Bombyx mori: one gene and its partners. The protein of the gene in region 4 binds, or shares a complex with, the protein of the main gene of each other region. Links are inferred from orthologs where the notes say so. Each region holds a gene or a part of one and is shown on either strand. Other genes may lie near its edges.

The links.
Region 1: DNA primase large subunit (region 4) and DNA polymerase alpha subunit B share a complex: the UniProt entries of both Drosophila melanogaster proteins name them as parts of the alpha DNA polymerase complex. The link is inferred for Bombyx mori from reciprocal best matches to the Drosophila melanogaster genes Prim2 and PolA2.
Region 2: DNA primase large subunit (region 4) and DNA polymerase alpha catalytic subunit share a complex: the UniProt entries of both Drosophila melanogaster proteins name them as parts of the alpha DNA polymerase complex. The link is inferred for Bombyx mori from reciprocal best matches to the Drosophila melanogaster genes Prim2 and PolA1.
Region 3: DNA primase large subunit (region 4) and DNA primase small subunit share a complex: the UniProt entries of both Drosophila melanogaster proteins name them as parts of the alpha DNA polymerase complex. The link is inferred for Bombyx mori from reciprocal best matches to the Drosophila melanogaster genes Prim2 and Prim1.

The regions. Positions count from the first base shown.
Region 1 is NC_085131.1:8,408,250-8,416,199, forward strand, and holds the start of DNA polymerase alpha subunit B, read right to left. Parts: upstream 5,133-7,950; 5' UTR 5,055-5,132; coding exon 4,979-5,054; intron 4,868-4,978; coding exon 4,615-4,867; intron 4,461-4,614; coding exon 4,415-4,460; intron 4,217-4,414; exon of another isoform or gene 4,140-4,216; intron 3,957-4,139; exon of another isoform or gene 3,877-3,956; intron 1,421-3,876; coding exon 1,350-1,420; intron 1,274-1,349; coding exon 1,106-1,273; intron 563-1,105; coding exon 439-562; intron 1-438. UniProt on the Drosophila melanogaster protein: Accessory subunit of the DNA polymerase alpha complex (also known as the alpha DNA polymerase-primase complex) which plays an essential role in the initiation of DNA synthesis.
Region 2 is NC_085121.1:13,174,912-13,182,880, forward strand, and holds the start of DNA polymerase alpha catalytic subunit, read left to right. Parts: upstream 1-3,365; 5' UTR 3,366-3,543; coding exon 3,544-3,559; intron 3,560-3,645; coding exon 3,646-3,843; intron 3,844-4,120; coding exon 4,121-4,302; intron 4,303-4,785; coding exon 4,786-4,995; intron 4,996-5,623; coding exon 5,624-5,683; intron 5,684-6,087; coding exon 6,088-6,669; intron 6,670-7,360; coding exon 7,361-7,552; intron 7,553-7,748; coding exon 7,749-7,969. UniProt on the Drosophila melanogaster protein: Catalytic subunit of the DNA polymerase alpha complex (also known as the alpha DNA polymerase-primase complex) which plays an essential role in the initiation of DNA synthesis.
Region 3 is NC_085116.1:10,061,903-10,069,883, reverse strand, and holds DNA primase small subunit, read right to left. Parts: upstream 4,795-7,981; 5' UTR 4,641-4,794; coding exon 4,638-4,640; intron 4,570-4,637; exon of another isoform or gene 4,569-4,569; coding exon 4,312-4,568; intron 4,174-4,311; coding exon 4,004-4,173; intron 3,637-4,003; coding exon 3,438-3,636; intron 2,718-3,437; coding exon 2,510-2,717; intron 2,297-2,509; coding exon 1,610-2,296; 3' UTR 1,517-1,609; coding exon of another isoform or gene 1,497-1,516; 3' UTR 1,447-1,496; downstream 1-1,446. Other genes in the region: uncharacterized protein LOC101739672, read left to right, coding at 5,538-5,589, 5,736-5,939, 7,576-7,724. UniProt on the Drosophila melanogaster protein: Catalytic subunit of the DNA primase complex and component of the DNA polymerase alpha complex (also known as the alpha DNA polymerase-primase complex) which play an essential role in the initiation of DNA synthesis.
Region 4 is NC_085110.1:5,390,852-5,398,818, forward strand, and holds DNA primase large subunit, read right to left. Parts: upstream 5,058-7,967; 5' UTR 4,530-5,057; coding exon 3,299-4,529; intron 2,812-3,298; coding exon 2,570-2,811; 3' UTR 2,532-2,569; downstream 1-2,531. Other genes in the region: Golgi apparatus protein 1, read left to right, coding at 2,062-2,168, 2,362-2,520; endoplasmic reticulum transmembrane helix translocase, read left to right, coding at 6,315-6,578, 6,654-6,743, 7,495-7,701, 7,806-7,967. UniProt on the Drosophila melanogaster protein: Regulatory subunit of the DNA primase complex and component of the DNA polymerase alpha complex (also known as the alpha DNA polymerase-primase complex) which play an essential role in the initiation of DNA synthesis.

The DNA of each region.
Region 1 (7,950 bases), on a different chromosome or scaffold from region 4:
AGCTGCAACAATACTGTGTTTCTTTAAGAATACGTGTTAAAAATACGAGTGCAATTAAATATATATCGATACCAATATATCATTCCTTATTTCGTAATCTGTCTATGTATCAGCCCAGACGTCCACTGCTGGACATAGGCCTCCCCCAAGCTTCGCCACAACGATCAGTCCTGCGCTGCTTGCACCCAGCGGAACCTTGTCAATCTCAATAGGTTGTCAGTCCATCTTGTAGAACTACCCACGCTGTCTACCTTATGTCAAGCGCGGCGATTATGGCACCCCCCCCCCACATGGCTAACACAATTTTCGTAATACCCGAATAAAAAAGTATTTTTTTATCCGAAAATCTGTCGGCGATACTTTGGTTAATTAAAATAATACAAATTACAATTCGAATCAATTATAATAGGTTCAGAACACATCACTACTAGAACCCACCTGTGTTTTGTGTCTAACTGAGGTACTTTCCTTTACACCCGCCTTCTTCATTATGTACTGCGATATGTATCGAATGTGATTATCAAACGTACTGGCTTTTTCGTGGAGAAGTTCAAAACCCAACCTAAAAGTCAACTGCGACTTAAGTTTATTTACGAATGTATTTTTTTTTTCATTAACACCTTCATTCATAATAGTCAATTAATAACGGTGTGTGTAAGTAATAATGATTTACATCACTCACATCGATTTTTACCATTTTCCGTACAACAAAAATTGGAGTCACTGTCCAATTATTCCCATATAACAACAAAAAATGTATTTTTCTCGGATTTCGCGAATCGTAGACTCAATTAAAATTATTTATACGGTTTAATAATTTCCAAGGAATTAAGGTTTAACGTCTATGGCGTAAAGCTTCGTTCGTAAACACGAAAACTATTAATTATTCGAAAGGTCAAAAAAAATAAAATCGTATAGATTAAAAACCGTATAAATTATTTAATTAAAACTATTGTTAAGACACCAGGCCAAGTGTGTGGGACGGTGATAGATGATAGTACATTATGCAAATAATGAGAATTAGAAGAACTAGTAACATAATAAAACCAGTATGCAATATTACAAGAATATTCGTCAACGTCACAATCGTACGAACATAACTTACATCGCCTTTGTGTAAACTTCGTCATCGTCATTAGGCACTTGCGTGATTTTCAAACTGAGCACATCATTCGAGCTGTTCGCTTTACCTAATTCTTGTAGTAATTTCTCATCTCCATAAGAATGGACCACCGTGCCTGCGTTTGTTCTCGACGCGTACTTCGCTGAACCGCTGGAATATTCGGTTAAGTATTTACTTTGTTTCAATATTCACATGGCGCCACGGAATTTTAACTTCGTTAACTTACACGGTCGGTGAATAAGTTGCAGGAACTATGTTATTCGGATTTGTCGTCGCGTCTTTTTCGATTTTGACTCTCTGTGAATATTTAAGTTTAAGGATTTGCACATTAAATTAATTTCAAAACAACAGAGTTGTGATATATGTATTACGATATTTTTGCCTGAGGTTTTCATTATTTCAAAAATTTTTTTTAACGCAAATAATGAAGTTAAGGAAAAAATTATGCAAGTACTCGTATGTACATAGTTTTCCTACACTATTTTAATAAATATCAATCAAGGGGGGGGATTAGTGGAGGGTGGTTCAGGGGAGTAGTGGCCTCGCTCAAATAGGACCGGATTTGTCGTTGACGACCAGTGTTTAAAATTATTGGTAGGAGTCTTGTTCTTGGAACGCGAGGTTCGACTTCTGTGAAGTCCACCAACATTTCGCAACTGGAAGTGTACACTCGTTCGAGATAGCACTCTACTTTCACTGCACCAATCCAGTAGGAGTTACGCCTGGGGCGTCCTGTAGGAGCCAGGATCCCTCGACTATCCGGTTCGGTGCAACTGGAGTTCAAGGCCACGCACTATGGACTTTAGCGCACAGCATAAAGTTAACTTAAAGAGCGCCCGGTTCGTTGTGATCCACCTTCACAACTAGCAGGCTGACTCTGGTACAGCGGGGTATCGTGGATCACCAGCGACACAGGCTGGTTCTTCGAATGGGTCACCGACCGTGGTGGCCAAAACACTTATTTTTGCCGACGATATCGCCGCCCAAGCAGATTGCAGTGTTATTAGCGGTTCCCCATATACATAAAATATGTATATATTTAAACGTAGAGAATTATGAATTTCAATCTTTGATTCTCATTTGGGCCAGATGATTGCGATATATGCTGAATTGTTCATTTATTATTTTATTTAACCTTATGACCGTACTGGAATTCTCGGGATACTTGTTTCGAATGACGTACAGTATTAGTAGTTTGGAAAGTTAAGCTAAGATGGCTTCTAAAATGTTGGTAGTCTTTAACAGAGAGAAACGATAGTTCAAGCTCGGGCTAATACTTCTTTTTGTAAAAGCATAGAGGCCCCGCGGATTAGTTTGCTCCTATATCTGTGCCGAGGTTCTTAAGTATCCACTTTTTTCGTTTAACCCAATACAGAAAAGAACAGTTTTGATCGTTTGCTCTATCTCAGTTCTTTTGTAGCCCCTGCATCTATGATTTTACTTTGATTCTTTCGGTATTTGTAGCGTATGAACCATGTGGAGTGGTCTAAGGAATATTCTGAGATGGCTCTGTCATCTCCTTAGTAAGGGAACGTACCCATAGTACGTGTCCCGTTTAGGGCGGGGAGCGGAGTCTTTAAAATACTACGGTCAGTCACAGGAGCGGGGGGGTGGCTCAGGTTTTTGTCACGTAGTCGATTTTAGTGAGAGAAATCTCGTATTTTTTCGACCTATATTTGAATATAGCGCACAGTGCTTAGCGCTTTGTAAACTCACACTACATAATTCACTAGTAATTTAAATGTGCATGCAGTCTTGTGCAATAAAGACGAGTATGAACCAATTTTTATTTTTTCAATTTTTGCCTATGTAATGATTAAAAATCATAATGAATTACTACGTGAAAACTAAAGGGGGAGAGGGGGGGGGTCTTGGCATATACTACGAGTGATCACCGTGGGGAGGGAGGTCGAAAAAACAAAAAAAATAGGTCACGTAGTATGGGTACGTTCCCTAACTGTACCACCCGCCGTCGGAACGGTTTGGTCATGTACCTACTTAGAACCACTCCATTCCTCCCTAATGCGATTCCAGTGATCATTATTGACACTTAAAATCTGGCTCTATAGTGAGTACCCCTCCTTGGCATTCTATGAGCGCTAGCGACATAGTTTTGTATTAAACATGTTTTGAAAAGTCCCAAGACCATACTTTCCCATACTTTTCTAATATTTGGGCAACAATGAACACTCAACATCAGGTGGAATATATGCACAGCTACCTCAAAAGCAGAAAAAAAGTGTAGGTACTCTCAAGCAACTGCATACCAAGAGCATATAACCACAGCCGTGTAGTCTCAATTGGTACATAATTAGCAGACTCTTTCACTGTTATTGTCTTTAATTTTAAAACTGAACTCAAACATAACCTTTATAAGAAATCAATTGTTAGATTAAACATTCACCGTTAATATTAATAAAAAATTAGATATATATTTGTGGCAACTAAGACTTACAAAAAATTATAAACAAGATAAACAATATTTGTACCGGACTGGTTGCAGTACAAATTTTCACATTTGTGAGATACTCATCGTTTTACAGTAGTTAGATTCAAACATTCAGCATTACTTATAGCTGGACTGTTTGATGGTTACCAGAATATACTATTAACATGCAAGTCATTTTTTTAACTTAGTTTAGTATTATTTTAATGCTTCTGTGTGATGTATTTCCAATTTTACAATAACAATATTTTATGTTAAATGTCTGTGATACAAATAGACTATAAAACTTACTCATAAGAAGAATGAGTTGATGGCTGCAGACGAGTATGGATCTAGTCATGATCAATATAAAACATGAACCAGAAGCAAACTCGCCCACAAATATCATCAAGTCACTGGTTGATTTTTAATACGCACATTCCATTTTAATTAGTTGTTATTTATCCACTTCCTTTCTTGATGCTTTGTTTGCAATAATGATTTCAAAATGCATTTATATTTAATTTGTAGGGTAGATTATGAAATGTATGTTTAAAATATTGATACAAGTCAGATGCTCTGAAGATGAATCCATAAGCACTCAATGAGTGTAGATCTAGTCACAGAATCAGCCCGGTGATACTAGACCTATACCCATTAACTACAAATGGAGAAAGATCCGTTTTTCTTCAAATACTCTTCATCAACTGAAAGATTTATTAACACATACACAAAATTCAGTATTAAGGTACTAACTGAGAATTAAGATTCATCGCTTAGAGATTTAGAAACAAAAAAACTACGTACATAACCTTGAAACGTTAACTCAAAACTAACACGAAGTTTATTAAAATCCAGTTACATACCTTGGGCGTTACGGCAACATAACTTGACAGTACTTCACTGTCTGGACTATATCAGTATAGGAAATGATTGCACAAAATTTTTGAAATAACGCTACTAACACAATAGTGTTTTAAGAAACATAATGAATATAAGAAGCACATTTCATAAAGTTATTTTCTAATATACTGCAAATTTCAACGTACTTTGTGTCAAAGGATACGGCGAAGTGGCTTTTGCTCCATAAACGGTAAGACTTTTACCGGCAGCTGGTCGTGTGGTTTCTTTAGCGGACGCGTTAGTTCGGCGCTTGGAAAATTCCTTTCTTACGAATAAATCTAAGTTTTCCAAGTTTGGTGAAGCACCGTTTACATAATTCAAACTGAATGCCATCCATTGTTCGATAAAAGTTTCAGCATCAATATTGTTCTCTTCACATAAATTTACACCTTTGGAAAAATGGTTCGTGAAACAACCTTGAACATGTTATTTGTCAATGTTTAATTACAATCACCATTGATAGAACTTATCGAGCACAGGTAACAGAAAAGACAAACCGTTTCTAACCGTTAAACAAGCTTACTTACATTTTAATAAAACATCTTGTTCAACGTTTATGCCAAAAAATTTAAATTGCTCAGTCACCAACTCTTCGGAGGCCATTTTCTGTAATTGAAAGAGCAAATGAAAGAAAAGGAAGCAAAAGAGCGCCAACGCCGATCCGAAAGTTTGCGTCAAAAAAGAGGTTGCCAGAAACGAAAATTTTTAAAACCTGCCATAGAACAGTCAAATCAGTCGTAACTTGTCTTGTCATTGTAAAGTAAATTTTTAATTTACGAATCAGTGACTTTGTGCTGCGTCGCAAAGATTTCTTTTACGTTTTTGTTTATAATGGTTTAATAAACAACTAACTTAACAAAATCAAAAAGCAAGAAACAATGTTCATTTGTTTTAAATTTAACAGTACCTACTTTAGGATATTATTTGTTTTTTACTAGAAAGAAACTCTTCCATAAACCGAATTAAATTCAATTTACCCCAGTTGAAGACCCGCTTCAAAGAGCTATGTTCTTCACTCACTTGTTGATTATTTCGCCTGAATTAGGTTCCGAGAAATATGGATGACCGATACATTGCCAATCCCTTCTGATTTTACCTGTTTATTAATACAAGCCATCAATAGGGCATATAACATGCTGGAACGCCAGAGTTAATGGTGATGATAGTGCAGGGGTAACCGTCAACGAAGAGCTCCAACCATTCTAAAGTACATTCGATGCGATTTCATGCCTCAAGGGTTCTTCTCGCTTCCCATTTCGCACTTCCCGACACTTCAGCTCCATCCAATATCCTGCCATTAATCATTGAAGCTTGCGTAGTGTAAAATCGGGTTAAAAATTCAGTAGATAGTAGGACTTGAAACGAATGGCTGGCGCCCACCCTCCTGATTATGTTTGCCATCAAACGTCCATTTTCCACTATCGGGTCGCCGAATTTCTGCCCCTTTCTGGTCTCCTTTTTTAATGCTTGTGACGTGTCTCAGTGGTTTCTGGAACTTACGGGGCAGACGTATTTGTGTGTCTATAAAGTGTGGTGAGTTTACGCAGAGACCAATACAGCCCATCGTTCGCAGGAAAGACCGATACCCTCCCGTGTCCATTAGTTCCTCACACAATCCATGACCAAGATTTTGCTATACCCCACCAATCTACTGCTGCTTCACAAGCAGCAATGCAGCAGCAAGCGACTTCAAGGGCAGTCATTGTACTATAGTGCACAATAATATAGGTAGTAGAACCGACTTGAAAACCACAACTCGATGTAGGCGTCATTTACGTTGTTGATGTCTAGAGACTCTGGTGACCGTTTAACACCAAGTCGGCCGTGAGCTCGGTCATTCGTCTAAGCAATAAAAATTAAAAACCATTGTCGCCTCGAAAACCGCGATTCTCGGTTCTTTGGCACCGTAGTGACCACGGGGGTTGTTTGTTTATTTTATACTCATATTTATGCCGGTTTTTCCAGGTCCCACGGTAGTAATGGGGTTTCTTCACTTATTTAAGTACGCACACCTTAATGACTGTAAATACGAATGGACTGTGTAAAAAACTGGTAAGTCAAAACGAAAAACAGTCAAACCCTGGAGATCAGTAGCGCTTTTTTTTTGGCTGATGGCCGAACCTCGTATGAGTTCCCGGCGTCTAGGGGGCACGCTATGTGGGCTTCGACGGTTCACAGATTAGACCGAGGGCCCAAGGATGGTATTTACCCACTAAACGACTCCCCTGCACTTTCGCCAAAGTGTTAGTTCACCCCCCTGAGGTCAGAACCCGGGTGGGGTAAGGCAGTTAGACTACAGTCAACACTGCAAATAGGCTCAGTTCACCCCACGAACACCCGATTGATGGAACCTTCGAGGCGAATCGACAGCTCTGAAACGTCGGCCATCTCACTACGCGAGTCCGTCAGGCCATCCAAGGGGTGCCGCAGATTTGCGATCGCTCTTATGTACTCCCGGGAGACCCGCTAGTCCTGGTAGTGCGCCACATGTATCAACACGCTCAGATCGCCTGGTGACCTTCTGATCGAAACTGAAATCTTCCAAATGTTTGAAGAGTTATCAGCTGTGTGAACCGTAAAGGCAGGTGTAAGCTCAGGTAGATACCCATGGTCTAAGCATAGCTATATGACTCACAGGTGAGATTGCGATGGCCGTGTCCCACTTACGTAAAGAGGTAAACCTTGACTTATGGAGAAAAAGTTTTTCAAATTTGTAAAACGTTTTCAGGGATTCCCATTCCGATTGAAAATATTCATTAATAACAGTAGAGCAGGCTGAGCCATCTATATTTGGAGAAGTGTAGTGTCCCGCTTCCTTTGTTAACCACTAATATTGCTGAATAAGTGCTCAGTGAAAACCCTTTTGTTTTTTACCTTTAATTATGTACGGTTAAGGTGAGAACATCTTGTATTTTACACAATTGTTTTCACAATTAATTGGTAAGAAATTATACATCAAACTGATGGTGCTTTAGTTATTTATCTAGTAATTATTTAATTTGTGTGGTTTACAACTGAGATATCAAGATTTATAAAGTATCTAAGAATCTATTGATATTTATTATGCTTGTTTTTTGAGATCCAATAGTCCTTATATTAAGCAATTACTTTTTTTTTATTGCTTAGATGGGTAGACAAGCTCACGGCCCGGCTGACCTTAAGTGGTTATCAGAGCCCATAGGCTCAAGGTAAAAGCCGCCATCCACCTTGAGATATGATTTCTAAGGTCTCAGTAGTTACAAACAGCTGCCCCACACTGATTTTAATTAATACATAATGTTATTCCTTCACTATGAAAGTCAATTGTGAACATCTTTTGAAAATTTGAAAAATTGGTACCGGCATGCAGGATTTGAATTCCAGTGCATCACTCAATACAAATGCACGAGTCGACTTATCTTTTAGGCCATGACAACTTCAGAATACTTTTAATAGTTACAATAGTTATTACAATCCTGTTTAAGGCTTATAACCAAAGTGAACAATAAAGTGCTTAATA
Region 2 (7,969 bases), on a different chromosome or scaffold from region 4:
GGTCTGCAGATGTAGCTGTCCGGCGGTCTTGTTGAGGCGGCAGTCGTCGGCCGTGCAGGCGGGCGGCGGCGTGAACTGCAGCGCGCGCACCGGCTGGTACGTCTCGGCGCCGCACGCGCTGCACGAGTACGTCGCCACCACCAGCAGCGGCTTCACGTCCGTGCACCGAGTCACTATACCTGAACACAAACTTAAATTAACTAGTAATCCCGCAGTAGTCGAAATTCGACTATAATTAATTGAAATTATAAGTTTGAATATTATTATGGTTCTATTGTCAAAGACTATTATACTTCTATAATCACAGATTTCGCAAAGACTACACTATAGACAAATAATATTAAAGATAAACAATATTAATATTAGTGTGTGGGTGTCAGATACATGGTAGTATGTGTAATGTTTTTTTATTAATTTAATGTATTATAAATGCATAATTAAAAAAAAAAAGCATTGTGCACTCCTTCTCTATATTCTCTATAAGTGTGGGAAATTTCATACTCCTCCGTCGAAGCAATTTCCGTAAAAAGGGGTACAAAGTTTTTTCTTCAGGTATTAATATATAGATATTTAACAAATCTCTTATCTATTGAGACTTTATCGTAGGGTATATATGTATTTTATTGTTACATATTTTTGTCTGTTTATATATCTCTATATATTTCAATTCCTGCAGCATACAGTGCCTTTACCCCTGACTCTGCTGAAATCCAGAAACGGCAAAGAATGTTCATCATCATTATCAGTAAAACCCACACCGGTGTCTCTTCAAAAACTATACTTATTCAATTGTAATTATTGGTATTTGTTGTTAAGTTTGAATAACTCTTATTTTTATTTTTATTTTATAACATTTTGTAATCTTGTAACTGTATGTGTGTACTGTAACTGTTGTGTACTATGTAAGTGTTATCTTTTGGCACAGAATTTATCAATAAAAAAAAGAAGATCTCAAACACTATTATGTGAAGTGTAGGAGAGAACTATTTATAATTTTGCTTTTTTTGAAATTTTTATTAATCAATAAATAGATTAGGTGTAGCTTAATCTATAATCAAATAGAAATAAATCAGTACAATATCCTGAATTACACCCTAATGACAATTCCAATTAATTAATGTTACCTGTTCAATAGAAGATTAAGTTTGTAGTAGATCCCTAGAAACATGTGATGTGATTGCATGGTTAATGAAGCATCTCCTAGAGGTTGTTATTGGGTTGCAGTGATTAACTACATTAAGAAATCTATTTTTTAATTGAAATATAGATAAATATCTATATTCGTATATGCAACATGACTATACTATAATATGTACCTCGCACAGTAACTAGTTTCCCAATATGTTCAGCCTTAACTTCTCTGATAGGTACACTTTTCGATGTTGACAAGTCTTTGAAGTACACTTCACTAAAATAAAGAAATACTTATTTTACAAATTGTTATTTCATAATATGGCAATTTAATTTGACTTTAAATTAAAATCTATTCTTCTATTTAATATGAGTGAGTGGGATGACAAATCAAATTAGGTAAATAAAAGTTTTAAATGTATTTTTTATACAATCCAAACCTCAATCTAACTCATATAAAGGAATATAAAGGATCAATTCTTAAGAAAAAATCTCTCATAAGTTAGACAAACCTAAATGTATTACCAGTATACTTGTTTATTTACAGTTAAAAATTCTCAGAACTTAATATAAAAACAACTTACAATCTCCTGATGAGCTCTGGTGGGTATCTGTTCCTAGGATCCCTCATTTCTCCAGGAATCCTGTGGTTTCTGGCTTCCAACATAATTCTGTGCTCAATGTATACATCCAAGGAATCCTTTGCTACTACCTGATATTGTTATATAATTTGTTTTTTTAATTTTGAGTTATATTATACTGTGATATAACATTCAAACACTAATAGCTCAGGAAAGACTACAATAGCAGAACCGTTTTTTGTGTTGCAATGTCCAGTGGTTAGAATAATTAAGCATTAGCTTTAACGAAACAAACATTGCATGTGAAAACAATTTTATATAAAATTTTATTTGATAATTCATTTTATTTATATTTGTGTAACACAACTGTAATGTGCAACACACGTAATGAAAAATATTCTATTCATTTTATACAATGAATGAAATTATAAGGTCACATACATTATGTACATTTACGCAGCAATTTGCACATAAATGCTTTCTGTTATTGTTAGTATAATTGCTTTTTCCCATTTTTGCTACAATCTTTAAGCTTTGCATAATTATATCAATGCTTACCTCTTTGAATTTGTAATCAGGCAGCATTTCATAAACCACGTCTGACACCATATTAGTGTATCTTCTGGTATTTTGTTTGACTGCCTCAGTCAAATCTTCATTCATCTCATGTAAATCATCCAAGTCAACTTCAAATGCTATCTATAATAAAAAATTAGTTTTTGTTATTAACGTCTTCTTGCTTCCTGTGTGCCCTAAGCAGGCAGTCATGATGTGTATTGAGGTTTAGTTTAGTTTGATTTCAGTTACATAAAAATTTCGGTAATTTAAAGTATAATTCATACAACAAGCTATAATTTTTTTTAATCCTAACTTTCTGTTATCCTAATAACTGTATACACATAAATAAACTAATCTTCATTATCTGCTAATAATCATTATCTTGATCCTGCGATAGTTTACAATAAGATAACAATTATACCTTATAGTAAAACTGGAAAAATTGTCCCAGCAATAAAATAAGTGAAATTATATTATTATATCATTCAAAGAACTAGAAACTACAACTACCCTAACCTCAACATAGCATTGTATTTTTATTATTATTATGAACCGAACAATCTTACCTGTTCTCTGTGTGCAACTTTAGTAAGTTGTTCAGCATATTTAAAATACTTTTTTCCTTCATCATCAGTTTGACAAAAATCAACGAAAAAGTTCTTGAAAGATTCTGTAAAGGTTTATTGAAATTATTTAATCGTTCATAATTTTGGTAATATGCTCGATCTTCTTCAAGTACCTTTATCTGCAGTGTAATCACGCATTGCCATTATGTTAGAAATATGTTATTCGAATAATTGCTGTCTTCAAATACTAATCACAAATGTATCACCAGCACCGATCACAAGCATCACAACAAATGTTTTTTGACAGTTACAAATTGGCGCGAAATTTGTGAAACTAAGAAGATTTTTATTTCTAAATGGATAGGTAAAGGGAACAACTCGCATATTAAAAGTCTTCTAAAAAAGGGCAAAAACGAAATCTACGACATGCAAATTTCACACCATATACCTTATCCTTTAGTAGAACATGAAGACTTTAATTAATTAATTTAGAAAAGAGATTCGACTGTATAGTATGATATCCTCGCCCTTTCTGTTGCAAAACGGAATACAAATATCAAATGTCAATCACAGCTGAAGGCTTTCAAAGTGGATACGCGCCAAAATATCTAAAAAGAATTTAACCTAATCAAAATATTAGTGTTTCTTGTAAATGTAAATTGTTTTAAACTTATATATGTGTACAAAAGAAAAGCTATTAAAAGAGAATGGCCGATTCAATAGGTACTGCAATACTTAAGTCTGTATCTAGGATGCATTTAGTTTCGAAACTCCTTGAACATTTAACAAAATGTATTTACTGTTTGTAGCTGCTCAGCGTGCGAAGCGACAAAAAACAGACCGACACGGTCGATTCTCGGCGTTTGAGAAGCTAAAACAATTAAAAGGGAAAGGTGTAAAGCATAAGTACGATGTGGATGTGCTTGAGAATGTGTACGACACTGTTGACGAGAAAGAATACACAGAAAGAGTTCTACAGCGACAAGAAGACGATTGGATAGAAGATGGTAAATCCATATTACAAATCAGTACATAATTTTTAGTTTCAACTAATAATATTAACTAGACTTTTCAAAAAAGTTTCACATATAAATTTTCAAAATCCTTATTTATTAAATGTTTAAAGTGACTACAAACCGAATTGAAATTTTCAAGTGAGAAAACATCCATTCTGTAAATTAAATGTGCATTAGTGACACAGTAATGTTTGTTTTCAATACTGGCTATACTTAACGAGTGAAAAATATGTATTAGAAGATTCAACTAATGTAACAAACTTTTTAGATGGTACTGGCTATGTTGAAGATGGAAGGGAGATATTTGATGATGATGATGATGCTTATGAAGCAACAAATAGTAAAGATACAGGCAGAGGACAGAAAAGGAAGGCCAAAGTTGCAGCACAGTCCTCAGGAAAAGGGAATATACGAAACTTAATTGGTAACATGCCTAGTAAGAAAAAAGAGGTTTGTTATATTTCATTTATTTAATTTATATTTAAGAATGCAATCCATTGATATCTATGATTATAATGTTTTAGATAGGATATTTTAAGTACTAATTAGTTCTTATGTATCGGGGACATCCTTCTGATAATTTTAGGAAAAATATAAAAACTATAGTCTTCTATAGAGTTACAGACTATGACAAATATAATTATAGTCTAGATTCCAAGAGAAAAGTGCAAAAACTTAATAATTTTTTGCATAATATAGATCCAACCTTATATTTCTGAAATAAAGATTAATAAAAAAAAATATTTTTATAACCTGTAATCCTAGTAAAAACAGGGTTAATTTAATTTGGTACTTGAGCAACTTTGACTACTTCTCTAAACTAAATTCCCTGTTTAATTGCACATATTATCAAATAATTGGCAACTTGGTAATGTTTGAATCCTAACTTAATTTTTTATTAGTAATTTAATATGTTGTTTTTCTTTCTTTCAGGATGTAAAGATTTCAGAAGATAATATTTTATCTGATATTATATCTGATTTGGATGCTAACACTGCATCAAATGTAGTAAAATCTACACTGCCTATAACTAAAACTAACATTGTGGATACAAGTAAGAGAGATGCACAAAACTACTTCAAAAGTCTTTCTGCTAACGTCAAGAAACCTTCTGTACTAAAAACATTCAAGGAAGAAAAGGAGGCATGTATCATTTTTTCATTTGTATCGAGTTATTAACTGTTAGTCTAAGGGGCTATTCCAAATACTTGGAGAATTTGCCAACACTAGCCTTAGCGCGAGCAGTTCTTGGCAGAATTCACCACTAGATCAGAATCACGACCTATTGAGAAGATCTAGCAAGAAACTCAGCCAGCTGTGTCACTGGTTAATTCGGTTGTCGTTATCGACGAGTTCGACTAGGTCCGGTGCTTGAAGAGCAAAAAATGTCAAAGATATGTAAAAAGTATGTAATTAGCAGTGACCAGAATAAGAGAATTATCATATCCCGCCGCTTTGTCGAAATAGCGTTTTGACGATACCTAAATTAGTTACGTATTGGTTCTAAATTTAAGTCTTCTGTGCTTTTCCTGTAACCTGATTGGATAATTATTTATAAAAGTATAAATGTTGTAGTAGCTGATACTGAATAGTAATTTATTCATGTAACACAATTTGAAAAGTAAACTTCGCATTAAAAGGTCGTCGAAAATATATAACGAAATGTATTTATGCAGAATGTACCCATTGAAAATCGTTCTCTCTACACAAAACAGATGTTACATTACTAAAATAATTTGCAACAGCAAGCTAAAACTTGTTATTATTTCAGACTGAAAGTATTGAGCCAGACACATCTGCAGTACAGTGTGAAAAAAATATGGTAAATATGGTAAAGTTAAATATTTTTTAATTGTATTTTAAATATCCTTGATATTATTGATGATGACAGATTACCTACCTAATGATTAGTGGTTTCTGCCCCTTGTAGACATCAGCAATACCAGAGCTACACATAGCCAATCTCCTGTGGACACTTTTCGAACCTTGTTTAAAATAGAACATCATAGCAATCCGGTTAGCATGGAGGGTGAGAGAGAGCCAGATGATATCCAGTGCTATAGAAGAAACAACTCCTTAGTAATTCCATAAAACCTTCGATAATAACATGGAGACAACAATCATTCTATTAACTCTATTCTATAATTTATTACATGTAAAGTTTGTTTTTGTTTAAATAAAGTGTAACAGCCACAGCCTACAAATATTAACAAATATATTATTTTAACCTCACAGATAAATCATGTGGTAAATGAACCTGCAAATAAGAAAATCAAGAAACCAGAATGGAACATTGAAAAAGAAATCAAGCAAGAACTTAATGAAACGCTTACTCCTAATATAGAAGAATTTGAAACACAAGATATTGACTTTGACGATGACTTCAGCAATGATGCAAAAACGTCCCAAGTGAAAAACGAGCCTGTCAGCACCGGAACTATCACCGAAAATCCTACAACAGACATCACTGATGAATTTTTCAATGACGAATTTGAAATATTCCCTTTACCAAAGAAAGAAACTACGAAAGAACTGAAACCATTGACTAGTACATGGCCAGAACAAGGAGGTGACAACCAAACTGTGTCTTCAGTTCAAAGTGATGGTCAATTACCACTGCAAACCAATGAAACAGGGGAGAAAGTGCTTAGATTTTACTGGCTTGATGCATGGGAAGATCGGTTTGTAAAACCAGGCGTTATATACCTATTTGGAAAAGTTTATGTTGACCCATCAAAAAAGAAGGCTGGATGTGTATCATGCTGCCTTGTTGTGAAGAATGTTAATAGGCAGATATTCCTGTTGCCAAGAGAATATGTAAGTTTTTTATTGCTATAAATATGTGTGACTCGTAGTGCTTCCCACTTTGCAATATGAGATTGATATCTCAATTAATTTAAATTACTGCCTTACCCTTCACACTAGAATGCAAAACTGCTTCACGGTAGAGACAGACTGTAATGTCTACACTAACAGGCTTACAATTTAAACCAAGATGGCCCTTTGTCATAGAAGGGTAGCTCACATAGTAAAAAACCTCTAATTTTTAACATGCTAACTGTTGCTGAATACTGTAATTTAAGTACGAAATTTCATGTCTCCCGCATAAAATAATACAACATTTACCACATAGTGTACTATCGAATTTACTGGTAAATGTTTTCTGTTTGTTATGTATACTGAAATCATAAGTTATATGCATTTATGCAATGCGATGTGGCAGTTTGGTTGTGTCCTCCACCGAGGGTAGCTCTCATCAGTAGTATATTCATTTTGTAAATAAATAAGTTTATAAAATGTTTAAAAAAATTACAGTAAATAAAATCCAATAAATTATTTACAAGAAAATTTAGTATATCATCCATTCTCTCAGGCTAAATTCTATAGATGTATATGTATTTATTTTTTACTGAGACTATGTTATGTTGAACGCAATTTCCTTTTAGTCAGGTAAAGAAATTATCACTACTATAAAAAATATAATATGCAAATTCACATTACTTTTCAGAAACTTGACCCAATAACCCTTGAGCCAACAGAACAAGAGGTGACGATGATGGATATGTATGAAGAGTTCAATAGTTCTGTGGCAAGTGAACTCAGTCTCCAAGAATTTAAATCACGAAAGGTCACCAAGAACTACTGTTTCAATTTGCCAGATATACCAGCTCAATCTGATTATTTAGAAGTTAGATACTCGGTAAGTTTTGTCTTGATTTGTTATGAAAAAAAAAATGCTTTTCTTATTTATTCACATATAATAATAGAATTATTCTGTTATATCCACTCAGCGTTAAAAGTTTTTAGTCTAAAGATTATTCATGACCGAATACTTCCTAAAAACAACAAACATTTACAAACATAAATTAATACAACTTCTGATATCATACTTGCAGGCAACTCTCCCTCCGCCTCCTACCAACAAAAAATATTTGACATTCTCACATATATTCGGAACGAACACATCTTCACTAGAAATATTCCTACTAGAGAGGAAAATCAAAGGGCCCTGTTGGCTTGAGATCAAGAACCCGGAAAGCGTCCAAGCCAAAGTGTCTTGGTGTAAATTGGAAGCCTCGTGTGAGAAGATGGAACATGTTAATGTTGTCCGAACGGA
Region 3 (7,981 bases), on a different chromosome or scaffold from region 4:
GTATACACTATTTGAAAACATTATATTTATTAATTTATACAAACATTTAATAATTGTTAAATATCTACGTACGTACTTACTTTCAAGTAGATTTGTTTAAAGTACATAATATCACTACAAGTGTTTGAGCAACGATTATGTAGGTAATTCTGAACTACTAGTTATCTCTTGTCTCTCTTTCAGCCCACAGATGTCCCAGCGACATATTTTAGGTTTTAGTTATCATTTTGTTTTACTGTTTTCGTATCACACAATTAGTCGCGTGAACTTTAAGCGAATGGGATGTATCGTATTCGAGATGGTGCGTATGGTACACTCTCAGCGCTGAGAACTTTGTTTTATTGTACTTCATCCAGTTGTGGATGACTATACTCGTCAAATATAAGTTTTAGCTATCCAAAACCTAAATTAATCTGTAACTTTTTAAAAGGAAAACCTATCATAAATATGAAATGTATGAAAGTAGTAAATATATATTTCAATTTGAATGTCCACTGAAACATTCTCATTGAGATAAAATAAACTCTACCGGTTCTATCTCTGGTCCGGACGAAAGGAAAACCATGGTATACTCGCTTTTTTTTTTCCTACCTAACCTGGTAGCCTGGAGCGGCTATTCCAGCGTAACCGTGGCTAGGTGAGCTCACGGGGCTCAAACCTGACGACGTTGCTAACACGAACCCTAGCAAAAGCCGTGCTTCGCAGAATCTACCACTGGATCGGAAACGCGACCCACTGAGAAGATCCGGCGAGAAACTCAGTGGGCTGGGTATACTGGCAAACTTCAGAGTCGCATATGCAATGTATAACCTGTGCTCACCCTTTCGTATAGTGGTCGAAGTTCAGTGTTTGATCCTCGCGGCGTTTTTGCAGGCAGTGGTACGCCAGTGTTGACAGTGGAATCTCCCCTTACCTTGCCAGAGTTCTGTTTCTGGCGTCGAGTGAGTTTTCATTAGGGTTTAATCGGTAGCCATTCTATTGGGGCAGTTGTACGGTTCACGCTGTCTAATGCTCCTTTCTTAAGACGCAGTCCTTCGAAGGCACCGGAGTCCGACTTAACCCGGTCTGATTCCCCATCAACCAGGAATCCATAATTGAATTCCCCTTTGTAACGAAAAACAGTAGGGGATGCCTACAAAGACTTTATTCTCCACTTATGCGCCATGTATAGGCATGCTAAAGGTTTGAAACGTGATAAGAAACAGTCACATTGCTCCTGTGCATTAACTATTACCATAAGCAATGAAATTTACCTTACGATCAGGTAGACTGTGAGTACCTTCAAATAAGTCAATAAGATGTAAAAAGCCCAACTCATTTCTGCATACTTATGCTTCTGTTTGGATTAAGGGAAGGCCATTATGCAACCTACATTTACCATTTAACAGCAAGTAGACCGTAAGATCGTTCACCCTTACATACAGAAAAAAAACATCAGCCAACCAATTACATATTTTCATTATTAAACTTTATTTGAGAATCACATGTTCATTGATTTAAAAATCCAATGATGTATCTGCAACAAAAATAATAATTATAAAGAGTTCTTTAGACAAGTTCCATTTAAACACATTTAACATTTACTCTGGTTATTATTTCAGTTTAGACATTAACAACCTTTCGCTCCGAAACAAAGGTATTGAGCGAAAGGTATTGAGAAAAATACTAGGACCAGTTCGGAAAGAAGACGGTTCTTGGCACGTCCGGAAAAATAAGGATGTGGAGAGGCTTTTTGGTGAGCGAAATATTCTGGGGGAGATGAAGGCACGGAGGCTCGGATGGTTCGGACATGTAGTACGTATGGAGCAGGATCGGGCTGTGAAACGGGTGTACCGGAGGGACGCCGCCCCGTAGGGAGGCCCAAGTACCGCTGGTGTGACAGCGCCAGTGGTGATAGCGCCAGCTCAGTAGTAGTAGTAGACATAAACAAGATAACAAAAACTAAAATAGTCTTACTGGCATCACTGCGTTTTCTCATAGCTTCAGTTTTCTCCAAAGCGAATACAAGTTCTTGGAAAATTTTAACAGCCGCTTTCATATTAGTTTCATGTTGGTTATTTTCGGCGACACTATCATCTAATAAACTGTATATTGTTGGTATTTCATCGATCTTCAAATTCTTTGCATTTGCTGACTTGAAAACAACAGACACTTTTCCAGTTTTCGGATGTATACTGAATGGAGACTTGAGCAAGTGATTGAAACCTTTTGTCACATTAACATCTAATCTGGGGTAGCAATATTGAATTTTTATTTCTTCTATAAGATATTTTATTTTTCGTATAACATTTCCATTCTACAAATTGAAAAACATGACAAAATAGAGTCATACATATATATGCATATTTTTTAGGACACAACTTCTAATATGTAGGTTAATCTTGAACTGTATCCTTGGAAAAAAATTTAAGCAGTTTAAAAAACAAATGCCAACGACTTTTCAATGAATTTCTAATTTTTAATGAAGTACCAAATTTTTCTTTATGTCAAAATTTTATTATTTTTTTACCTCTCTGCAATAATTTTCATAAATATTTATAAAAGTGTTCCACTTATTCAATGATGGTTCCTGCATTTTTTTCAAAGTTGTTTCAACCTGTGATTTTAACGCATCATCTGGTATCAACTTCAAAAATGAGTTTAGCTTATCTGTTGCTAAAAATTCCTGATCTTGTAATAATTGTTCAAAGTATTTGTCTATTATATTTAAGGCACGCCTGGAACAAGTATTTAAATATACTATTTTTAATTTATTTATTACTTACACTTCATGTATTTTATATATTAGTAAACTTAATGCCTAACTCATTCTCCTTACGAAAATGAATATCAGATCGAACATGAAACGTGTAAATATACAAGGGAATGCGTAACTTCCTCAAGGGAGTGTTATATAAGTTATGTGTAGTATAAAATTATAAAGTGTAAAAGTTTATTAGTGAAAATGATAAGGACAGCGGTATTAAAATTATAAGTTTGGGGGTGATGTCTTACTGTATACACTTGTAAAGTATATAAAGGTATGTATATAAAAGGGACTTTGTGTCAAATCTAGTCCTGATCTTGATATGTGACATTATATCAAGGTAACATTCTAAGCATTCTAAATTCTGATTAGCATGACCAATGTAAATTATTTTCACATGTAACCAATAATAATACAGTGTTACATCATAATCACTTTTCCCTTAGCCTTAGTAATGATTTTTACTGGTCAAAACTCTGGTAATGTGCTCCAGCAGCTTATGAAAGAAAATAATAGTATTTTCTTATTAATCTTCTTTGGATGGGTAGATCGACTCATAAAAGTAATTTTTAATTTTGCGAGAAGTAATTAACAAAATTATTATCAACAAAATTATGATCATCTATCATTTTCAAAAAATATTTATGTAAATCTCATGTAAGAATATCAAATTAAAAAAAAATGATATAACCTTATACTGGAATGTAAGTTTTCATTGCCAAGATGCACTTTTTTACTTTGGTTTTCACCACCTACGATTAAACAAAGGTAATCGGCAATAGCTCCTCGACCTGGACTATCGAGAGTTCTGGCTTCATAATCTGATACCCAACAGTGAATACCACGCCGACCTGAAAATACCCACAGGATGCTTTGGAACCCGAAGTCATCTGAAATTAGTAAGTCAAGGATGTGAATTTGAATTCAATCAATCATTTTGTCAATTATAAGAATCATGAATCACTTGTATCATGAAAATAATACTATAGATGTGGATAATTGAAGTCAAAATCCATTCACTAGTGGAAATATATAAGTAACTAACTACTACAGTGTAAATATGTTTTGGTTTTCTTTTTTTTTTCTATTGGCCCACAAACATCCTCTGCTGGACATATGGTTTTGTAGTTTTTTTTCGCCACCCCAAGTATGCATGAGATAGGTTACATTTTAATGAGTGTGGTGTGGTAAATAAATATAGAAATATAGAAGAATCTTTAATGGTCTGTAGCTCAGTAAAGTAAATCATGTATTTACCTTTTAAAGCTTTATCAATGATTTCACATGCAATAACCATAAATTTCCAGCATTTTTCACACACTCTAGCTTCTTGACAACATGTTCTTATTTCATCATAGTCTGTTAAATCTATATCGAATACTAGTTCTCGCGATATCACTACAGCGTCATGTCTTCCTACAGAAGGCCTTAAATAACGGAAGAATACCAAGTGACAATAAAAGAGTGTAATATTGCTTTTTAAATGCTAATAAATGAAATTTACTTTATTAAATATTCAAGCATGATATTTTAACTTCATACAAACTTTTAGACATAAAACATACTTTGTGTTGTAAACTGCTCCAACATCCAATTTGTGTGGACATTTCTTTTGAAGAAGGGTTTGTAAATCCTTTTGATGCGAAATCGACAAATAACGGAGGTAGACATCGTCAGCTAAAGTAAATGATAATTCTCTGTTACAGAGCGGTTGAGGCGAACTACCGCATGCTAGCCATCTACAGAATATATTTTGCGGAAATTGCCTGGCATAGTAAGTGGGTAGCATATCAGATAGAATGTTTTCATTGTGTTCGCCAATCTGTACAATTAAATTGATATTAATCAGAAGTTTAGTTTTTTATTTAGATCAGTTTGAATTTGAACTTACCATTTTTACCAAAACAACAACTCCTATAATGACATTTTTTTTAGGGATTTCATGACCTGATAACTAATACCTTTAAGTCATGTCTTATTTTAATTTATATTCTTATTTTTATGAAAAATGATAACCAATATGGAGTGAAATGAAATGAAATGAAGATGATTAATTTGAGACATTAATCAACTGGGATGAAATTAAATGAAATGAGATGAGATGATATCTCTCTATCTATAATCTCAGTCATTTTACTGAGATTATATTTCATTCCATACCATCTCATCTCATTTCATTTAATTTCATCCCAGTTGATTAATGTCTCAAATTAATCATCTTCATTTCATTTCACTCCTTAATATCATTTTTCATAAACATAAGAATATAAATTAAAATAAGACATGACTTAAAAGTCTTAGTTACCAAGTCATTAAATCCTTTAATAAAAACTAATTAGGAATCCGAGACCGAAAATTTGTAGAATCGATTAAATGAGTCGTCTATTAACAAAGGCGGCAATCTGTACATTTGGACAAAAAATTTTTATTGATATGTCAATACAGATTTATTTGAATATAATCGTCTCTTTCAAAGAATACGGTTCAAAACCTGCATTAAATAAAGGTTAATAGTTAACCTGTTATTTATCTAAGATGTCGTTCCGAAGAGTTTTGTGACTGCCAATGGAATACAAAGTCAATAATTCGTTTTTCTGATTTACCAATCATTGTCCAAAAGTCAGATTGCCGCCTTTGATAATAGTCGACTCAAATGTAAAAAAAATTTTTTAACCTACCCGTAAACATTTTTCAACTACCTACCCTAAATTTTATTCAGCTTTGTGTGTGAATTGAATCTTGATTTAGTTATTGATGTCAAAACTGCTGAAATTCTGACTACTAAAACAATATGGAAATTAATAAAGACACCGCTTTTTTAATAGTAGTAAAAATGTCATTTCGTAAGTAGGAACATTAAAAAATAACCGTAAACCCTAATTTAATAAGTAATGGATCTTTTAAAATACTTTTCACATGTGTTTGTGGTTTAAACCACCAACAGTATTTACTTTAATTTACGAAAATAATTATTCGTCTATATTTTCAGGTTCACTGCACAATTCGTATTGCAAGACTTCGGAAAAATTTCTTAATGCATCAAAGGTATTGATCGAATCGTTGCTAAGAAAGCCATTGGCAATGACTTTAATAGCAGCCTGGTTATTAAATTTACTGCTTATATCTACGTTTTTTTCTGTAACTGTTATTTTGATGACCTCAACTATATTTCTAGTAATTGTATTTTTAGAAGGTAAGTTACTATACTACTAATATTAGATACTGAATATTAAAGAATTAAAAAAAAAAATATTAAAATTTCAGACAAGGCTGTAATACTATTTAGAAAACTCTATAGCCTGCCTTAGAAAGATAGCCACATCATAAATATCACACATTGTCTCAAGACGAAAGTCATTGACCGGTGTGTGACATATTGCATTATGTCGTAATCGCTCTCAATGGACATTATCAGAAAGCTCAATGTCACCCAAAGAGCAGTGGCGATGGTGATGCTCGGAGTTTTCCGACAACATTATATCAGGAATGAGGGGAAACAAGGTGGACTGACAACTTTGAGATTCGCTGGAATCCACTGGATGTAGGTAGCACAAAACTGGTCGTTGTGGCGAGGTTTGGGAAGGCCTATGTCCAGCAGTGGACGTTTGTAACCTGAAAAATATTCAGCGGCTTATTAACGGGGTACAATATCCGGTTCGAGTCGGTATTTTTGTGAACAGTATGTTGTATTTGAGAACTGGATGACGTATTGTCTGGTATAGGATTGTAGAGTCAAATTTCAAGAAAAAAATTAGAACCATTTATTGTAGAACGTTATATTTTTTAATCAAGACACGAGTAAGATTCATGTCATTGAGATATTAATTGCATTGAAATAAAGTAAAAGGATGACACCATTGTACTGTCTCGTTCATAGATTATACACTTAATATATTTGAGAGTCTCGTTAATAGCGGCTGTCAATGATCTTTTATACAATATTTACTTTCTTTCTTTTTACATATAAAATATCATTGGCGGCTGCATAAATAATTTCAACAGCTAATCAAACTTTGTGGACTTTCGCGTTGCTAGTAGGAATTCTTCTCGGATTCTATTTCCTCCTAAGAATCTTCCTTTCCTCCAAGCAATTCTCAAAGTAGGAAACAATCATAGGAAAAATTATTAAAATACTTTTTTTTGGTTTCTACTCTAGCAGAATCATTATATTGTGTAAAAACAGGAACACATCTTTAGAGATTCTAAGAACAATTTTCTACTGCCTACGCTTATAAAGCTTCATTCTTCCGTCATTTTTACAAGAAGTTCACAACGACGATTGGATACTGGCTTCATTTAAGGAACAAAATCTAATCATTATGCAAATTAACTTCACAACTTTTTCTATAAATTACGAAGTACTAGTACTATTATTATTATTATTTTTTATTGCCCTTGTAGGCAGACGAGCATGCCGCCCACCTGATGGTGAGTGGTTGCCGTCGCCCATGGACTTCAGCAATGCCAGGGACAGAGCCAAGCCACTGCCTACCGCTTAATACTCTCCACAAGCCTCGTTTGAAAAAGGACATGTCATAGCGCTCGGGAAACACCGTGGAGGGGAGCTCATTCCATAGCCGGAGGGTACGTGGCAAAAAAGACCTCTGGAAACGCACTGTGGATGACCGCAGTGGCTCCAGGTAGTATGGATGAACTCTACTCCGGTGGCGGGCGGTGCGATGGTAAAAACGAGATGCCGGTATCATCTCGAACAATTCCTCAGAGCACTCCCCATGGAACATACGGTACAAAATACAGAGGGAACCGAAGTCCCTCCGCAAACCCAGAGGTTCCAAACGTATTAAAATTGATGTTCATGTTTATTGCAGGTGTTTTGTTCTTTTGGATTTTTTACATGTGCTGCGTAATTATCACTTTACTGGCCTTATTAATAATATCTACGATAGGATTTTTACAGCATGTTTATGAAACTTTATATGGAACAGAACCAAGAATAGTAAATATATCAGTTTTATAATATTGTCATGTTGTTTGGTTTTCACTATTGCTCAATGTCCAACAATATTTTTTGGCAATCTATTTATCTATATATATAACAATGACTTGCTGTTTGTTAGTCTTGCTAAAACACGAGAACGGCTTGACTGATTTGGCTAATTTTGGTCTTGAATTATTTGTGGAAGTCCAGAGAAGATTTAAAAGGTAGATAAATATGAAAATAATCGGAATTAAATAAAAATAACAATTTTGTTTTTTCTTTGACGTGTTCTACGT
Region 4 (7,967 bases):
TTGTGTTTACCGATATTTAAAAAAAAAACAACTACATGCACCGATTTTTGAAGTGAAAACTTCTTTAGAATCGTTGTGATTTCAAACCGGATGCAACGGAAAAAACGACAGGTAAGAGACACAAATACAAAAATGTGTAGGATGAAGCCAGCAAAGAATGAGACAGAAATATACATACTATTTAATACAGCGCCATCTGTGAGATTTTTTAATACTAACGTGTGTATGAAAGCTCTTGTAGTGAATTTTAATTTAGGATTATACGTGAAATTAAAATATCAATTCACAGAGGGCGCTACCTTACAATTATTTATTAATGACAAAATTTTACATATACTTAAGACGTTTAGGATAATTGTATTTTAATTTTGGAAGGTTTCACTTCTACCACGTGAGAATTGCACACATTTTGTATTTTTTTAAAAAGGAAACCGATTAAGTTACAGAAGCATATGGAGGCTTACTACACCATTAATTTTTATATTAGTGTTCATAAAAACTCTAAACGTTATCATAGAAATGCATCGATATTCAATCAAATACCGTGAATAGTATACACTCGTAGTATGAAATTTGTTTTGTAAGCACAGAAAGAGATAAAAAAACAAGAATTTTAGACTTTATAAAACAACGGCGAATGGAGGGTGCAAATACTACGGCCTTTGTACTAAACATACTAAGCATGTACTTATATAGAAACTGTCCTGGAATAAAAAAAAACCGCTCAAAGTAACAAGGACTTTCTGGAAAATTAATGTGCATTTGGTTACGCTTGACAAAATAGATAGTAATTATACTTACTACTCGGTCAAGAAAGTACTTACACGGAAAATATCAATAATAAACAAAATGTTAGTTATTCATACAAATCACCTTCAAAGTAAGGTTCTTTAATTACCTTCAAAGTTCTAGGTACCACCACCCTGCCTATTTCTGCCGTGAAGCAGTAATGAGTTTCGGTTTGAAGGGTGGGTGGGGCAGCGGTTGTAACTGTACTGAGACTTTAGAACTCATATCTCAAGGTGTGTGGCGGCATTTACATTATATATGTCTATGGGCTTCTGTAACCACTGAACACCAGGTGGGCCGTGAGCTCGTCCACCCATCTAAGCAATAAAAAAGTAAACTCCTTGCAGTTGTGAGAGATAAACCCTCGTAAAACCTCTCTTGGGTTGTGTCTCGGACGGAGATTGGCCGATCGGGCGAGAGTAGTCGTTTATTGGGTGGCCTCTATCATTTTGCAAGTCCCATATAATCAGGACGTAGAAGTTTCGTGCTTAACCCCCGTATCTTTAGTCGTTCACACGAGCTTAACTCGACTCGACTCAACCTCCAACGCGGTTTTGGTATGCTTACTTAAAAAAAATGTGTTGTACCCACGTATATCTGTTAAATCATTATAACAATTTTTTATATGTATTCTAATTCTAAATTATTATCTTGACAAAATTATCTTTTCGGGCGATATCACAACAATAGCGTACTGCGAACGATAGGAATACCACCGAGAATCGACATTGCTATTATCGAACCCGGATGTCCCGCTATATGGCGAGCTCTCGACTTTATCCCATATTGAATATATTACTTTATATCTGCTAATGGCTTTCGTATTCATTCGTTAATAAAAGATTCGGCGTTACTTTTTCTGAATGTAATTTGTATTGTAATAAAATTTTACTACACTATATATATAACTTCTTTATGGTGAAGATATTTATGTATTATAATAAAAAAAATAGATACATAATTTGATTCTTAAAAAGTTTCGTGTCTGCCTTATCACGCTTCACAATGTAATTGATGATTCATAGATTGTGAATTTTATGGACAAAGGACTACGTAATGAATTGTTATTGTTCATTTTAGTATTGTCAACTGTAGATGAATAGACAAGCTAATGGCCTGACAGACCAATGCATGAAACAACAATATGTTGCGATAGCAATCCGCTTTGGCAACAATGAAGATGGACTGTTGGTCGAAACTTCCATCTCACATACTACGCCGCTCAAACATATGCCTGCCAAATTACGAAAGATAATAAAAAAATTTTTGCAGGTCTGAAATGTTTAAAAATTATATCAAATGATGGAACACGGAAGTTGGAGGCAGCATGTGAAAAGGAACTCACAAGTAGATTAGAAATGTATAGATTTGTAGCAGCTGTAAGTTTTGTTTTAATTAATTATTAAGTAAAGATTCATCAAATCAAATCAGTTTGTATCTGAAATAGCAAAATTCCAATTTTATGCTTGATTTTAAGTGTCATAACCAAATATCCTTTAATAATTTTTTTTTTTATTATTCTTTGCTTTTTATAATTGTGTTTACATAATTAATTTGTTTTTTAATTTACAGAAATTTGAAACACTGGGAGATGTTTATCATAGCATATCATCATCACCATCAAAAAAGTATTTCTTAGTTGTAGGTATTTCGATTGTAGGCATAATTTTTATATTTGGTCTGTACTGTGGACATGTTACTAAAAAAGCTATGTATGTTAAGCAAAAATAATAAATGAACTATTGCAATATGAAATAAGTTTTATTTCTGTTGTGTTAGATCATTCCAGTGGCTCATCAAAATCCATAGCATCTATGCTGTCAACAATATCTTTCTTCACAAGATTTTCTTTCTTGGGTTGTACTTTCAATTCTCCTTTCAATATTTTCTGACTCTCCTCAAAGAACTGATTAGGATGATTGATACCTAAACCAACATCTGCATTGTGGATGGCATCAAAATATTTACTGCAGGCAATTTGGAAATGTGTTTTCTTGCTCAACTCCACTATATCAGAAACAACTGAAAATCAAGAAAATTTACCTTTTTCAGTGAAATTTACAACTAGTGCAAGCCTCCATATGTATTAACATTGCTGTTTGCAAAGGAGGCTCCAATGAGTGTTAGTAACTGAGTAACATTTGGCAGTCTATAAATTTTGGTTTCACTTAGGTTATTTTAATATTTTGGCATGTACAATCTACCAACTGATTAGTTCACTAAAGGAGTAATCAATATCTACTGAAGTGTCACCTCATCAATAGTGCAACTTGGTAAATTAAAGGCAATATTTTTGGGAACATAATAAACTAATATCAGTTATTTTAAACTTTTAAGCTTTAGTACATTTTTTAAAATAGTTTATGGAGTTGTAATTAATTTTATTTAGCACACTATAATTACACAACATTAAGTACTTAGAAATGAATACATTACGTTATTCTATTAGTCTGTGTACAAGTTAATGTTGTTGTGGCTTTGATAAAACAGTTATAACATTTTGATTTACCTTGATGACTAAAACCATAGCCAATAAGTTTATTCTTTAGAACACCAGTATCACAGTGTCTGAATGGACATCCATGACAATCTCCAGGACCAACATTGGTATTTATAATCTTCAGACAACTGAATGGTGAATAATTCCTTTTGCTTCCTTCTTTTCCATAATTGTATCTAACATTATAAGCATATTGCTTTTCAAATTTATCCAAATCCATAATCTTAATGAATTCTTCCCTCCAAAACCTTAAAGAGTCTTCCAGTGTCACACCAATACCTTTTAAGAACAAGCCATACTGTAACCTGCCCCCATGTTTTAAGTGATGGGCAATTCTTAATTGTTCATGAAGTTGCCTCATACACAGAGGAAATGACTTGGTTGAAATAGAGTCCAAGCTTTCTATGGGTATCACAGCTTTAGTTTCAGAATAATCATTACCTGAATAAGATTGATGTAAGCCTTTTAACAAACAAACAAGTCGTTCATCTTGTTCAATTTCACACAGATGATGGCAAGCTTTGGCCAAATTTTGTTTTAAATGTGTTCGATACTGTGCTGCAAGAACTGATATGAAATCTCTGTGAGGTATATAAGCGTATCCATCATTAAGAAATACTTTTCTTGCTTTAACCAAATCTAGAACTTCAAAGAATTTAACCTTATAGAATTTCATATTGTCTATTTTAGAGTAGGGTGTAGATTCTATTAAGTTTTGTATTACTTCGTTTTTTTCATCTTCAGAAATAGTAGTGTAACATAGATTGTTTAGTTTAAAGAATACCTCTACCGCTTCGCCTCTCATGACAGCAAATCTCATTTTGAATAGTTCCAATTCCCTTGCGATGAACCAACGTCGCAACTCTTCAGTCCGACAATAAGCAAGTCGGAGTATAAAATGAGCAATGTGATCTTTTCTTCGGGCTTCAAAATCTGCTTTAGTAGATCCACAACCCGATTTCTCACACAATTTAGCATAATATTTCAAACCCTGTGCTCGTAAATCGTTTAGTACGAATTCCACAAATTCTTCTGAATTTAAACGCAACCCTCGAAGAGTTGTAGCTGTAGACAACGTTCTTAACAAATTTACACGCTCCAGAGCTAATGTTTCAAATTCTTGTAAAGTGATGTTTTCAACCGGTGGAATTTTGTACAATTGTAAGTCATGTGGATAGAGTTCGAATTGATTACCTGTTGCTGGAGTTTTGGTAGATTTTCTTTTAACTTTGAAATCCATACTTTTTTATATATTTAATAATTACTTTTAACCTTTATTGTGTTATAAATTCTTGTTATTAATAATGTTCATATTAATAATGTTTAGCACTATTGTTACACTTGCTACTGGAACAATTTTGGCGCCAGTTTTTACTATATAGGTCTATGAGTTTTTGTAGACACAAATCACAATAGTGACAAGTAACAGTGACAGACATCATTGTTGATTTGTCCACAAAAGAGACAAAGGCATCGTAGCCCAAAATAGCTTAGAATAAAGATTAAATCCATTTTTGTCTTGTGTTTGTCTCAGATTGATTTTCAGCTTTCGCAGTTTTGTCCATAATGAAAGAACGATATGACTAATGGTAATTGCTTTTTTCATGACCACACAATGACAATAACGACAAATAAAATGGGATTTAAGACTAAAATAAAATTACAGCAAGAATTTTCATTGCCTTCGAAGGCTATATACTGTATATACGAACCTCTGTGAAACTATAAACATAAAACCATGTTCTTACAAGTATTAAAATACTTAATCCGAAACCTGATCTATTATTGAAAACAAGTTTTTTATGATTTCGTAACAATTTTAAAAAGCCATTGGTCAGACCAAGTGACTGAGGAATTCAAAATGCTAATGCCTCAGGCTCTAAATTAGGACGAAACCCGTGGCGAGTAAAGAAGTTTACAGCGTTTCAGTCGAAGTTACGAAGCTTATTAGCGAGGGAACACTTTAAAACGAAAAGTCCTGAAATTTTGTTTATCGTTACTGGTAAATTGATAGTTCTGATAACATTGCTCTTGTTAAAATAACGGTTTTGTATAGATAGTGATAGCTTCATTACAGCACTTAATAGATAAATCGCTTGATGTCAATTTATTCTTTGTTATACTTAGTGGCCACACTGGAAACCGGTAAATAGAACTTCGGGGTGATGTTGATGCGAGGGTTGAATCAGAGTGAGGTAAAATAAAGAAATAAACTCATGGGATTAATAATTTTTTATAAAATTTTCAACGAACTAAAGTTTCATAATTAAATGTAATATTTTAGTTAAGTTGAATAGTGTGATGGATCAAATCATTATTTTATTATTATACTGCAGACAAATTATCCTGTTCGTATAATTTGCGCTGACTATGCGCACGTGATTTTAATTTTCTACTATATTTATTATAGAGTATTTCTATGACTGGGTCCCACAAACTGCCAGATTTGTTTTCATCAATGTCTGACGCCCACCGTAGTTTCTAGAGTAATTACCAAATTTTTTAAATATCGTGTTGAATAATAACAAAGATTCGGCTCAACGAATTTATAGTAACGAAAATGGCTTTATATTTTAGTAAAGAAAATAAATAATAGTTTAAAAAAATGTTTTATCCTAAAATATCATAGCTAAAAAAATTTAAACTATTCATCAAAACAAATCACTCACGAGTTGTGGAAATCTTATTTCCACTTAAAATGGAATGCTGAAAATTACAAAAATCTGGATTTGTATACTCAAACAGTGAGGCTGATGTGGGCTAATGACGTTGCTGGTAATGCACATGTTGTTGCTCTTTCCGGTTTTACACTTCGGTCATTCTCTATGCACTTCACTCACTACTTTTGCAATTTACAACATGTCAATAATCTGTCAAGTTGGCTAGACTCCGAAATCAAACCATTATTTTGAATTAAAACCAATCAATTGAATGGAGCAATGCTGCGTGATAGTATCATTTAGTTAAAATTTGGCAACTGCGTTAGAATCCGTATCAATTAATAGAATTTTTCATAGCGACATCGATGGTAAAGATGCAGTCGTCACTAGATGATTTAGTTCAGTATACACAGCTTTTCAAGCCTGTTCCGACTGTTTTACAAGGCACGGTTTTGCCTTTTCTATTTATTTACCCTCTGGTTTTTTATTCATGGATCGTTGTGTACGGTATAGAAGATAATTTCGAGGCAGGATTCGTGACTGTGGCTGTGATAGCAACAGTCCAGATCCTCATATGTTTGTGTTGTTACTGGAGTGTTCATATCAACTGCTTCCTTTCTTGTTCAGCGGTAAGTCCTTAGACAGCAAAATGTTTTTAAAAAGAAATTAGAGACTTTACATTTGCTATATGATGTTGATGACAGGTTAAAGATCCAATACAAGCTGAGGTAGTCAAGGTTGTACCGACTTCTAACAATGGATCATCTGAGCTTGTTCGACTACATCATACGAAGGTAAGACTTATATTGTGAACTTTAACAAAAACCATATTAAAATTTTTCAACTGTGATGTTCACACAGTATTGGAATAAAATGATTTACATCTGCATCACATTGAAGGTACCAAGTTATTGGTATAGTGGCTAGTAAATATGGCCATACCGTATCCCATAGTCTTAGATGTATTCTATTTGGTTGTTTTTTTTGGCATTTGTATTGGCAAGTATTTGGCATTAGGTAGGGATCGCAGTGTATTTGTTTTCTCTTTCAAAAACAGACACATTACATGGTAGAAATCTCTGTACTTTCAGGTCTTTGAATGTGGAATGAATACAAATAGCCACAAATATTTTTCCAGCTTGTTCATGGTTTTCAAGTTTTAAGTTTCAAGTTTTACATTCAAATTCTTGTCGAACCCGTCACTTGCAACGAAGGGCTCGATGAGTAACTTAACCCTCAGACACAGGCCACTGAGTTTTTCGCCGAATCTTCTCAGTGGGTCGCGTTTCCGATCCGGCGGTAGATTCTGCGAAGCACGGCTCTTGCCAGGGTTCGTGTACGCAACGTCGTCAGGTTTGAGCCCCGTGAGCTCACCTACTAGTTAAGGTTCTGCTGAAATAGCCTCCCAAGGCTATCAGCTTATGTAGGAAAAAAATAACATTCAAAGTTAATGATAGTACAGGGTACAATTTAGAAAAGAGAATGAGGGCTTCGAGTCGATTTTCACTAAGTTCAGGTTTATTTTAAAATATATTTGATTTACAGTCAACAAAAAAAGACAGTATACACCCAGATGTTTGGTTCATATTTCAAAAGAGTAAATATGTGTATGACTGGGATAAAAAGAATTTTCACACCATAGAATTTCCTATCAATAAAATTTATGAAGAATATATGGAATCCAAAGGATATTCTGATGATGAGGCTATTGATTTAGCAGAAAAAGAATTTGGTAAAAATGAGATGGTTATGGTAAGTAATCTTTGTAAAATCATAAACATATATAAATGAAAATTAAATTAAGAATGTTATTTTAAAAATATTTGAACCATACAAACCACTCTACAAATTTTCAGGTTGTTCCGGAATTTATGGAACTTTTTAAAGAGAGAGCAACAGCACCATTTTTTGTATTTCAAGTATTTTGTGTAGCTCTGTGGTGTTTGGATAAGTATTGGTATTACTCAATATTCACACTAGTGATGTTGGTTATGTTTGAATGTACATTGGTGCAGCAA